Linked DNA regions of Ovis aries. The protein of the gene in region 1 purifies or fractionates together with the protein of each later gene. This does not show direct contact. Links are inferred from orthologs where the notes say so. Each region holds a gene or a part of one and is shown on either strand. Other genes may lie near its edges.

Evidence for each region. The genes of interacting proteins can lie anywhere in the genome.
Region 2: the proteins of PSMG2 (region 1) and PSMA2 purify together in Homo sapiens (affinity purification with mass spectrometry; 4 studies listed by BioGRID and IntAct, with this or other methods). This does not show direct contact. The link is inferred for Ovis aries from reciprocal best matches to the Homo sapiens genes PSMG2 and PSMA2.

The regions. Positions count from the first base shown.
Region 1 is NC_056076.1:43,562,360-43,568,018, reverse strand, and holds the start of PSMG2 (proteasome assembly chaperone 2), read right to left. Parts: upstream 3,322-5,659; 5' UTR 3,300-3,321; coding exon 3,243-3,299; intron 750-3,242; coding exon 578-749; intron 1-577. Other genes in the region: CEP76 (centrosomal protein of 76 kDa), read left to right, coding at 3,703-3,765, 4,396-4,551, 5,598-5,659. UniProt on the Homo sapiens protein: Chaperone protein which promotes assembly of the 20S proteasome as part of a heterodimer with PSMG1.
Region 2 is NC_056057.1:79,798,805-79,803,737, reverse strand, and holds part of PSMA2 (proteasome subunit alpha type-2), read right to left. Parts: intron 4,580-4,933; coding exon 4,498-4,579; intron 3,046-4,497; coding exon 2,972-3,045; intron 1,560-2,971; coding exon 1,502-1,559; intron 1,418-1,501; coding exon 1,301-1,417; 3' UTR 1-1,300.

The DNA of each region.
Region 1 (5,659 bases):
CACCTGTCACGTATTCTGGTCAAAAATATTTAGCTTCTAAATAATCAAGGCTTTAAGACTAAGTCCAGTTTCAGAAAATACAGAGGCCAGAGGAACACAGTGGTTGGTCTGTACGCTGCGAGCCCTGACTAACCCCAACTGACAGCACAGCAGGGAACTGTGGAGATGGGTGGCGTGGGAAGGGCCTAGGCCTCCTGCAGTCAAGTGACTTGCCTCTCTGAGCCGGGTCAGTGTGCATTACGATGAATGCTACCACTGTGTGACAGATGACTTCAGCCTGCATGGGGCGCTGCACATTAAACACATAGGCCTGAGCCCAGTGTTAGCAATGCTTACACGTGCCAGGAGGACAGAAAGTAAAACTGAGGATAAGAGGGGGAAACCCCATGTTAAAAATCATTCTATCCAAGGGTACAAATACAAGCACATCTCTTGAGGGGGCTGTAATCCAGGGTGTGTGCAGGAGAGGAGGGCACCGCTGTGGATTCTAAAGAGCCACTCCAGGTACCAACGGACACCCAGGGAGAGTCTGGCTGTGACTTGACACAAATCTGCCTTGTGGAAGGATATAACACACCTTCAGCATTTATACTGAGCTCCGCTGAATTCTCTTCTGCAGTTGCATATGGATTGTTTCCAACCATTGGCACAAGACAGTCAGTATAGAAGTAACCGATCTTATGCATATTCAGTGTGGAAATAATCAGATCTATTGCAAGCTGGCCAACATTTCCAACAGATACTGCTGGCTGAAACAGTAAAAAAAAAAAAAGTTCATTAAGTTATCCAAATCAGCAGCACTTTAAGAAGTTTAGACAGAAGACGACAGTCACAGTGGACGTACTGGACGCCAATGCTCAGGTGCATCACACCTGGGTTCTGAGCTTTTCATTAGCTCCACCTGGAGACTACTGACTGCATACTTACTGAATACCTGCTATGTGTCAACCCCTGTTCTGGGCACTGAGGATGCAGTAAACAAATGGATCAGAGTTCCTGCCCTTGTGGAGTTCCATCTAGTGAGGGGGTGGTTTGCTGGGGCAAACAAAATAGATAGTAAAATACATAGCAGTAAGTACTATAGAAAACATTTAAGTCAGTAAGGGTGTGTGTGTTTATGGGTGACTGCAAGTTCAAAAGGGGTGGTCAAGGAAACAGTCACTTCAGGTGGCCAAGTAACTACAGCCCTGAAAGGTAAGGGAGACAGTCACACCAAGACTTGGGATATGATGAGGTCAGGCAGTGGTAAAGCAGGTGCGGAGGCTGTGAGGTATGAACAACAGAGTTCGTGGGTCTTCTTTCCATTTGGTTCGTTAGTGCCTAAAGATTGGAGGGAGCTTCTTTTCATGCTGCGCACACACACACACACACACACACACACACACTCGCTCACTCTCTTTCTCTCTCTCTCACACACATACTCTCTCTTTCATGACTTCAAATAGCCAACTACCACATCTCTACCTACACCCCAAACACTCACCTGAACTCCAAAGCCTAATGGCTATCTCCACACAGTTATGTTAAAACCAGCAGGTACAAAACAAAGCATCTGCCCAACCTGCTCCCTACTTTGCACTTCAGAAAACAGCAACAATTACTCACCCAGTTACCTAAACCAGGGACCTGCTTCCCTTCCCCTCAGCAGCCACAGCAGGACAGGACTAATTTTCATTGATCCTGTCTCCAAAGTTTCTCTTCACTATACCTCCTCCTCTGCACTCTTCTAGCAACTGCTCGTTTTTGGCCTCTATGGGTCCTTCAGAGCAGCCTCCCACTTTGGGCCCTCCCGTACCAATCCCCTGGTTACCTCCTTTAATTCCCTTTCCCTTTTTTGCTACTTTGGTTAGACCCTCACTCTCCGGTATCGTTCGTTTCTTCCTCACTACTGGATTCTCCCATCAGCATATTCACACCCTCTAAAATCTTTCCTTCTGAAAAACTCGCTGTCACTTCTCAGTGTCCCTCCAGAGCCCAAATTCCTTACAGTCTGTCCACTAAGACACAAGCAGGAACTTTATCTCTGAATTCAGGAACAAAAGCACAAACATACAGATCTCCACATCATCTCCCATTTCTTCAATCCAATATGGCTTCCCTCTTCACCATCAAGGGTACTGCTAGTAACCTGTGGACACTATTTTCTCTATGACGTTTTCTTTCTGCCAGGTATCTCCTGCAAAAATACTTTTTCCCTTTTGTGATTAACGAATATTTTTCAGAGAGACACTTTGAAATGAAGTCAAATTTTCTTCCTCAGTACACTATCAAAGCTGCTTCTATCATTCACTGATACTTTTTTTTTGCTCTGAGCCGCACCACAAGCAGGACCTTAGTTCCTCGACAAGGGATCAAACCCATGCCCCTTGTAGTGGAAGCGCAGAGTACTAGTTACTGGACCAGGAGGGAAGTCCCCACTGACATTTCTTGCTTTCATTATGAAAACTGTCGAAAAGTGACTTTTCTATTACCATCGTCCTTTTAAAAACGGATACATATATGTTAGTTTCAGGTGCACAACATTGTGATTGAACGTCTGTACACATTGCAATATGATTACCTCAACAGGTCTACTTAACGATCATCACCACTCAGTCAAAAAATTATTTTTTCTTGTGATGAGAATTTTAAGATCTACTCTGTTACTTTCAAACATACAACACAGTGTTAACTATAGTTACTACGTTGCAAATTACATTCCAGGACTTATTTTTGACTAAAAGTTTGTACTTTTGACCCCTTTCATCCAATCTGTTCTATGTGTTTTTTTTAATTCCACATACGAAGCTTTTCTTAACAGATCTTTGTATCCCTCCCCTTCCCAATAAATCCCCGGGTCTTTCTGTACCCCTTTCAACGTTCTAACTTTATTTATTTACGTGTGTTCCCAACTAGACTGCGAACTCCTTGAGACACAGAACCTGGTTTTACCGTTACACACTGACACAACACAACGCTCACTGAAGCAATGAATGAACCGCGATAGAATCGCGTGCTGTCGCCAAGTCTTTACCAGCCCGTCTGCAGTTTCCTGACTAACGACAATCACTCCCCAGCTTAAGCGCGATACAGAGCTCGCGGAGAAAAGATTTTCCAAGAAGGTACAGCGAGTGGCCCACACGGCACCAACGGAGCGCAAGGTCACGTCCCCGCACATTTCGCTCACAGCCACCAGGACCCGGCCCCACAGACTCGCGCGCGTCCGGGGGCCGCTCTGACGCCAGACCCCTGCCCCGACTCACCATTAGGAGGGTGCACCCCGCGAGGTCGGGGACCGAGTCCCCGGAGGGTACGAACATGGTTTCGCCGGCGGCACAAGGAGCCGGCGGCCGGAAGTGCGGGCGACTCCTGGGGTCCTTCGAGGCCCCGGTCGCGGGGTCCTTAGGTGCCCGTCCCACTGCCTGCCGGGGCGGCGCGCGGGAGGGGCTGCGGGCGGGGGTGGCGGCCGGGGCGGCGCGCGGGAACAGGCTGGCGGTCAAGGCGCGGAGTCTGCGGGCGGAGACGAGCCGGGGCGCCGGCCGAGGTGACTGACAGGCGGCGCGGGGACAGCCTCGCCGCCGTTTGGAAACAGCAGTTGGAGCCGCCCGGTTCCCCCGCCGGCCTGACGCGGCCGCCCCCGGAGCGCGCGAGGCGAGCGGTCGCGGGCTCTGGCTCCGCCGCGGAGACGCTGCGGCCGCCGGCGTGCCCGACGGGGAGGCCAGCATGTCGCTGCCGCCGGAAAAGGCGTCCGAGCTGAAGCAGCTCATCCACCAGCAGCTGAGCAAGGTGAGGCGGTGAGGCGGTGAGGCGGCGGGCGGGCGGGGGCTGGGCCAGCGGGCACCGCGGATACGCGGGGAGAGGGCTGAGGGGCCGGAGGCCGTCACTTCATGGGAGGCGGCACGGAGGGGCTGTCGGTCCTCGGGGTCAGCCGGGGCTCCAGCCGCCGCCCCGTGCCGAGTGTTAGCGTCTCCCTGCCCCGCGGCGGTCCTGACCCCCGCCGCCTCCCCCAGACGCGTAAAGGGTCACTCCGTTAACCCTCGGCCACAACTAAAAGGTTGAGAGAGTTTACTTTTGGCCTTTGGTCGCTCCTCCGCTGCTCTGCTCTAGTCTCAAAAGACTGGTTTCAGTCGGGTGTTATTTGTGGGGAAGTGCTAGCAAATGTAATAGATAAGCTTAGAGCTTATTTTTAGAGTTAAAAATATTTATCCTTAAAGTTTTTTTCCTTTAAAAAACCTTACCTTTATTCTCAGTGAATTTCGGTAACAATCTCACACTGTTACTTGAGAAACCTTCCTGAGTTTAACTACTCTCTCATTATTATTATTTTGTGGTCAATATTTTGCAAAGATGTTAGCTAGTTGGCTATCTTTGACTGCTCTATGACGTTTTAAGTCCTAATGCGAGTTTTCTACCTAGATGGATGTCCATGGCAGGATAAGAGAAATCCTTGCTGAGACGATTCGGGAAGAATTGGCACCTGATCAACAACAGCTATCAACCGAAGATTTGATCAAAGCCCTTAAACGCCGGGGAATCATTGATGATGTGATGAAAGAACTTAATTTTGTTACTGTGAGTAATCTCTTAGAGCAAGACATTTGAGAGTCTTAAGTACATTCTCATGTTTAATACCACTCTTAGGGTCCAATTTGGGGCCTCTCTTTAGTGAAACTACTTTTTAAATAAGACCATTTTGTCTAGTAATATCTGTGTCTCAGGAATGAGCTACTTCACCCTTGAGTGGAGCGGGTAGGATTATGTATCAGTGAAACTGAAATTATGGACCTAATTATTCCCTTTACAGTGAGAGTTTTCTCTTATACTCTAGGTCTGAAACTTTAAGTGTGTATATTAGTCAAATTAGTTCACTCCAAGTGTATTTTTTCTAAATTAATATCCTGAAATCTTTCTACACAAAGCTTATTATTGAAGTAAACACATTGTTTGGTGCTGTGTTCTCTAAGATGAACAGATTGTTTCTTTAAGAAATTAATTGTCTGCATAAGAACTTTCAACTCTTTTCATATAAATAGGTCAGTAGTGAGGTGATGCCTCTCTGCACAAATTAGTAAGTAGGTCTTTTGAAAGTGAGGCAATAATGAGAGACTGTGACCTCAATACCTGGGTAACATAATGTGGAAATTGGATGGGCTTCATAATACACCAGAGAATAAGTATTTTAGTCCAGCGTCCTTTTTTGGTTTTTGAGGTTTATAAACTCATTTGTTATAAAAACTGACCTAGTAATAGCTTCTGCTGTGTGAATGTCACTTCCTTATTATAATCAGTTCTGTTCCTGGTGGAACCACAAGCCAGATGTCATATGAGGTTTGGAGAAAGTTTAACCTTCTGTAAAGTGTTAAAAATTTATTTTAGCATTCTGTGGACATGGCTTGAAGATCATGAATTCCTTCATGCTAGACTTTAGGAATGACTAATTAGCTGCATTATTGTTTCAGCAGACTTTTCATTATTCTGACTCTGCTAGGAAAGTTAGGGCATTTTGAGGGGGCTTTATCCTGTCTACTTTTAGTTCAGTTCTTAGTCCCATTATTGGCATTTTCTTAACTGTAATTTTTGTTTTCTAATTTGTTATGATTTTTTTTCTGCCATTCTAGGATAATGTTGATCAAGAACTCCCTTCCTCTCCAAAACAACCTGTTTGTTTTACTGACAGACA
Region 2 (4,933 bases), on another chromosome or scaffold:
AGTCACTCGGCCAGTTAAGGGGGAGAGGTGAGACCTAACTCCAAAACCATTCCTTTTGACCACTAAGTTCTTTTTAGCATTCTGGATTCATAATGTACTAAGAGCCAACAAGGGGAGGCTGTAATGTTAAATGAGGCCTTCAAGACAAACGTCTAGAAACAGTCAAGTTGGCATCTCCCATCTCTCATCATAACACTCCTGCCACTCTAGGGGTTACGGTGACAGTAGGGAGAACTGGGAATCCTGACAAAAATACTCCAAGATAAGTCTCTTTCCTAAGAAGGCTAAACTTAACCAAATCTTTTGAGATCTTTTGACCCACATTTAAGCCACAGAAATCCCCATCTCTTTGTTGGTAAGAAAAATGACATTCATAAATTATGTTCTGTGAGCAAGACTAATGACAGGATTTCTCTCATCCTACGATGCCTTAAAAAAACAAAGAAAGCTTTAAGTGCTATGCCTTCACATATAATGGAAACAGGGTTCTGATATTCCATGATTAGCTTGCTGTTGGAAGTCTTAAAGTGCAGTGAAGGTTCTGATTACAGAGGTTTCATGAATGAGGGAGAGACTTAAGCCGTAATTTTGACATTTAAGTATTAGTATTTTATTTCCAGCACTCACGTTCATCCTTGAGTTAGAAAGATCTAGTAGACTCTAGGGGGCTCTTTTGAAATACATTTACGTACTAGTGATGGAAAAGTCAACAGGAACTAGCACACCGTTTTTTATGTATCTACATGGTACATCTCCTATAGGAGACTGTGGCTTAGCACTCTCGGCAGCTCCAGAGCAATCTCATAGAACATCCTAGGTTTCACTGATCCACACCTAATGGTGCCCGAAATACAGCTATGCTTCCTACCTTGCCTCAGAATCCATGAAAGTCTACAGATTCTCTCAGCTCCAAAAGCAGTGTTTACTGAAATCAGGATTTTGCTTTCCTAAAGCAGAAAACATCTGACAGTAAAGAAGATGACAAAGTTTGACTTAATCCAAACTGTGTGAAGATTAAAGACCAATTTCACCATTCTGCTTTTCAATGTAGTTTCCAGAAATCAACTGTGATGGAAAGCAGGAAATATAACTATGTTAAAAGTTTACTAACTCCTAAAAAGCTGGAAGTTAATTTAAGAGTTTATTATGATTTATAAGTCTCATTTTAAAAACATCAGTCCATCAAACCATGTAGAAATAAGTATGCAAAAAGTCTGCAAAACAAAACATACTTTAAACATGTTTAAGTAGAGAAGTTATCTGAAATTCTGGATTTTCAGTCACTTCATTATTTGCATTATTATGCAATGGCAGCCAAATAATCCTTAACTTCAGTTGGGGTAAGCCTCCTAAATCCGGCTTCGTTGCAGATTCCAACTTCAATATTATCTTCTGTCATCTGCCCTTCAAAGCTTTCCTGATGAAGGAGGGGAAAAGGTCAATTTTCTCAACAGTTAATTATAAAATCACTACAAATCCAATCAGTAGATATTGAACTAACCTTTAGGGTTAATATGGCTGTATGAATGGCATCTTCAAGTTCCAGATCTTCATTATATCTAAAGAATTTTTTTTTAAAGAAAAACAATGACTTATGGCACTATTAAGATGATTCATGACTAAGAAAACACAATGATAGCAACAGCATAAGATTTTAAAACATCTAATAAGACATTCTTAAAAATATAAAAAGTTACAGATTAATTCTCCTAGTCTCCTCACTGAGCTGTCCCCAAAATAAGAAACTGACAATTATTTAGGGTGCATTCCTGACATCATGAAGAGTGTAACCCTAACACGAGTTTACTTAAGAAATTTCCTTAAGTATTTTAATATGATCAGCATGTGGTGGCAATATTATAACAATTTATAAAAATAAAGCGGAGAAATCAAACCTCTAGTAAAATTTCATAACGTTTGGAAGACTCACCAATAATACGTAAGATGAAAAATAAAGTGCTTTAAGATCCTAAGATTATTTAAGCTTACCAAGTAATCCCAGGTCTAAGATTTTTAAGTAATCTTAGCATTAATATTATCTGAGAATGTACTGAAAAGGTTCATTTGGTGGTTAAAATCAATTGCAGACTCCTCCCATCCAAAACATAGGACACTTTTTGGTGGGCTACAATAATGCCGAGTCTAGAATACAGCTGGAATTAAGTGAGGGCAGTCTGCTGTGCTGGGCAGGGGCAGATTTTTATGTATCATTCCACTTTTTATCAAGTACATACATCACGTCTTTTTTTGTTTTTTAATTTCTATTTGGCTGCACTGGGTCTTCGTAGCCATGTGCGGGCTTTCTCTAGTTGAGGTGAGCAGGTGCTACTCTCCTATTGAGGAGCACAGGCTCTAGTTGTAGCCCATGGGCTTAGTTGCTTTGCAGCATGTGGGATCCTCCCAGACCAGGGATCAAACTTGTGTCCCCTGCATTGGCAGAAGGATTCTTAACCACCAGACCACCAGGGAAGCCCCGTATGTCACATCTTTAATCTACCATCAACACCAGGTACTTGCGTTCACCATATATATATATTTTTTGGAAATTGTCAAAATGAAAATGATAGAGGAGCCTGGCGTGTCCTCAAAGAACCAGTCATGACTGAGTGACTGAGCACACATACAAACTGTTATCACTTAAACCATTTAAAAACTTTCTTCCCAAATTTTTTACTCCAAATCCAATGGTCTCTTTTTTTTTGAGATGGTAGAAAAAAATGAAGTAAAAAAAATAAAAAAAACATTTAGGAAAACATGAGAATGTAGAAAGAGAAGTCCTTAAGAAATGAATACTACCACTTAATATGTTGAAGGCTGAGGAGCCCAAGTACAGACAAGTAAGTTTGTTCTATCAGTAGCTAGGCTTGACTACAGTCATGCTACAAATTTGTTTATAAATTAATGAAATTATTTACAGAGAGCTGAAGACTGTAGAGTAAGTGTGGTAATGAATCTAGTTTTATAAATCTACCTTTTCTCAAGGAAAGTCTTCCCATTCACATAGTTCTTTCCCATTGCTGTGGCTTTCCAGGCAAAGTAAGCTCCCTAATCAGGAGAGGAAGAGGAAACAAAAACAAAAACACACATTTTAAATCATTAATATAATTATTTATGACTCTGACATTTATTTCTCAGTTCCATAATTTGTCTCTAAGAGTTTCAGAATATTTATTGGAATGCAATGAGCTATGTCACAAAATAAATCAATGTGATAACAAAGAGGCATGAAGAACTTTTGGAGGTACAGCATCTTGATTGTGTTGATGATTTTCTCAGGTATTTAATACATCAAAACCCCATCAAATACGTATAATTTACTGTACAAAATTTATGTGAAAAAAAGAAACGAGGTTAATTTAGAGCAAATAATCAAAAGTAATATTTTAGCTTACTACGATTGAAAGGCTCTAAAAATCATATCTATCTGAAAAATGGTGACCATTGGTGAACAAACTAAAAAGACACAGCTTTGCACTAAAAATTTTCAAAGGTGTTGATTTTTGTAATCTAAAGTTACACAAAAACAGCTACCACATCATATATGACTCATCTACTGAAAAAGTACATATGCACACATGTACAGAAACTGAAAGCAACAGACCATATTTTAAAAGAAAACAAGTGACTTTTAGCTATAACAGGGGGAAAGGGCAAAAGATGAAAGCTGGATTCCCATGATGGCGGCTCTGCTACTCTCAGGAAAAGAAGATAAGAGGACTTGGCATTTAGCTTCAGAAGCTCAGATATGGGATAACAGACACTGTCAAAGTTCCTCAAATACTTAATTTTTCTGATTTAATTAACAACCTAAATATTTTTGCTTTTTCAAATTACAAAGCTAGAGTATAAGATGTGCATCGAGTAAACCTGACATTACCTAATGATCTATAAACTATGAAAGGTCAGTTTCTAATAGTGAATCTTTTTTTCTGGGTCTCCTCACAGTAAACATGAGTGACAGACGTGAGACACACGTGGAGGAGTGGTGCTTCTCCAGACACCTGCCAACCCAGACACCAATCTTCTGCTTTATAGCAGACGACTCACTCATTTTGCAAAACATCAGTCATGACAGTAACATCAATATTTCTGCAGAAGAGTCACTTCAAGTCAACCCCAAGATTAAACTAATGGCAAAGGGCACTGCCCACTCCCAGAAAGGTTTTAACTGAACTTAGAATTAAAATCAGCTTTAATCATAATTTTAAAAAGAATTCCACAGATTTACAGAGATTTGATAACAACTACTTCAACAAATCATTCTAAGTATGTGAAGTTAATCAGCATGCCAGAAGAACAGAGGGCAGAACTAAAGGAGGTTCCTTATCAGAAGATGAAGTTATCAACATTTTAAATGTACAAGTGAACATGTATTACTTCTAAAGCCCAAATGGAAGAGAAAATACTCTAATTTGTAAGGTTTTTATGGCTTCTATTTCTATTAGGTACTCAAAGAGCACTTTAACAAACTCCTCAAATACATCTAATGGTACTTACAGATGGATCTGACTGAAATAAATATGGCCGTCCCTCATTCCAACCACAGATAAGTAAAGAAACTCCAAATGGGCGAACACCACTGAACAAAGAGAAATGAAAATTAATCGGCACCTTCATGGTGTTAAGGTCAACTTAATGTAAGAAGTTATTAATACTCTCAAGTAAAGCGAGTTATCAGGTCACCGAATTAGACTTCTGAGTTCCTTAAACAGCATTTAACACCTTTCTAAACAAATCAATTCAAAATGAATTTTCTTTATGGTACTGAGGAACAATAGTCAGATCATTTTGGTAAATAGACTGATACAAATATTGGGGTTAATAAATGTGGGTAACACTTCATGTCCTAATAAAATAGCAGATTTCAGCAAATGCAGCTTTTCCACTGGTTTTACATTTCAGTAATTACCTCATCATTTTCACAACCAAACTC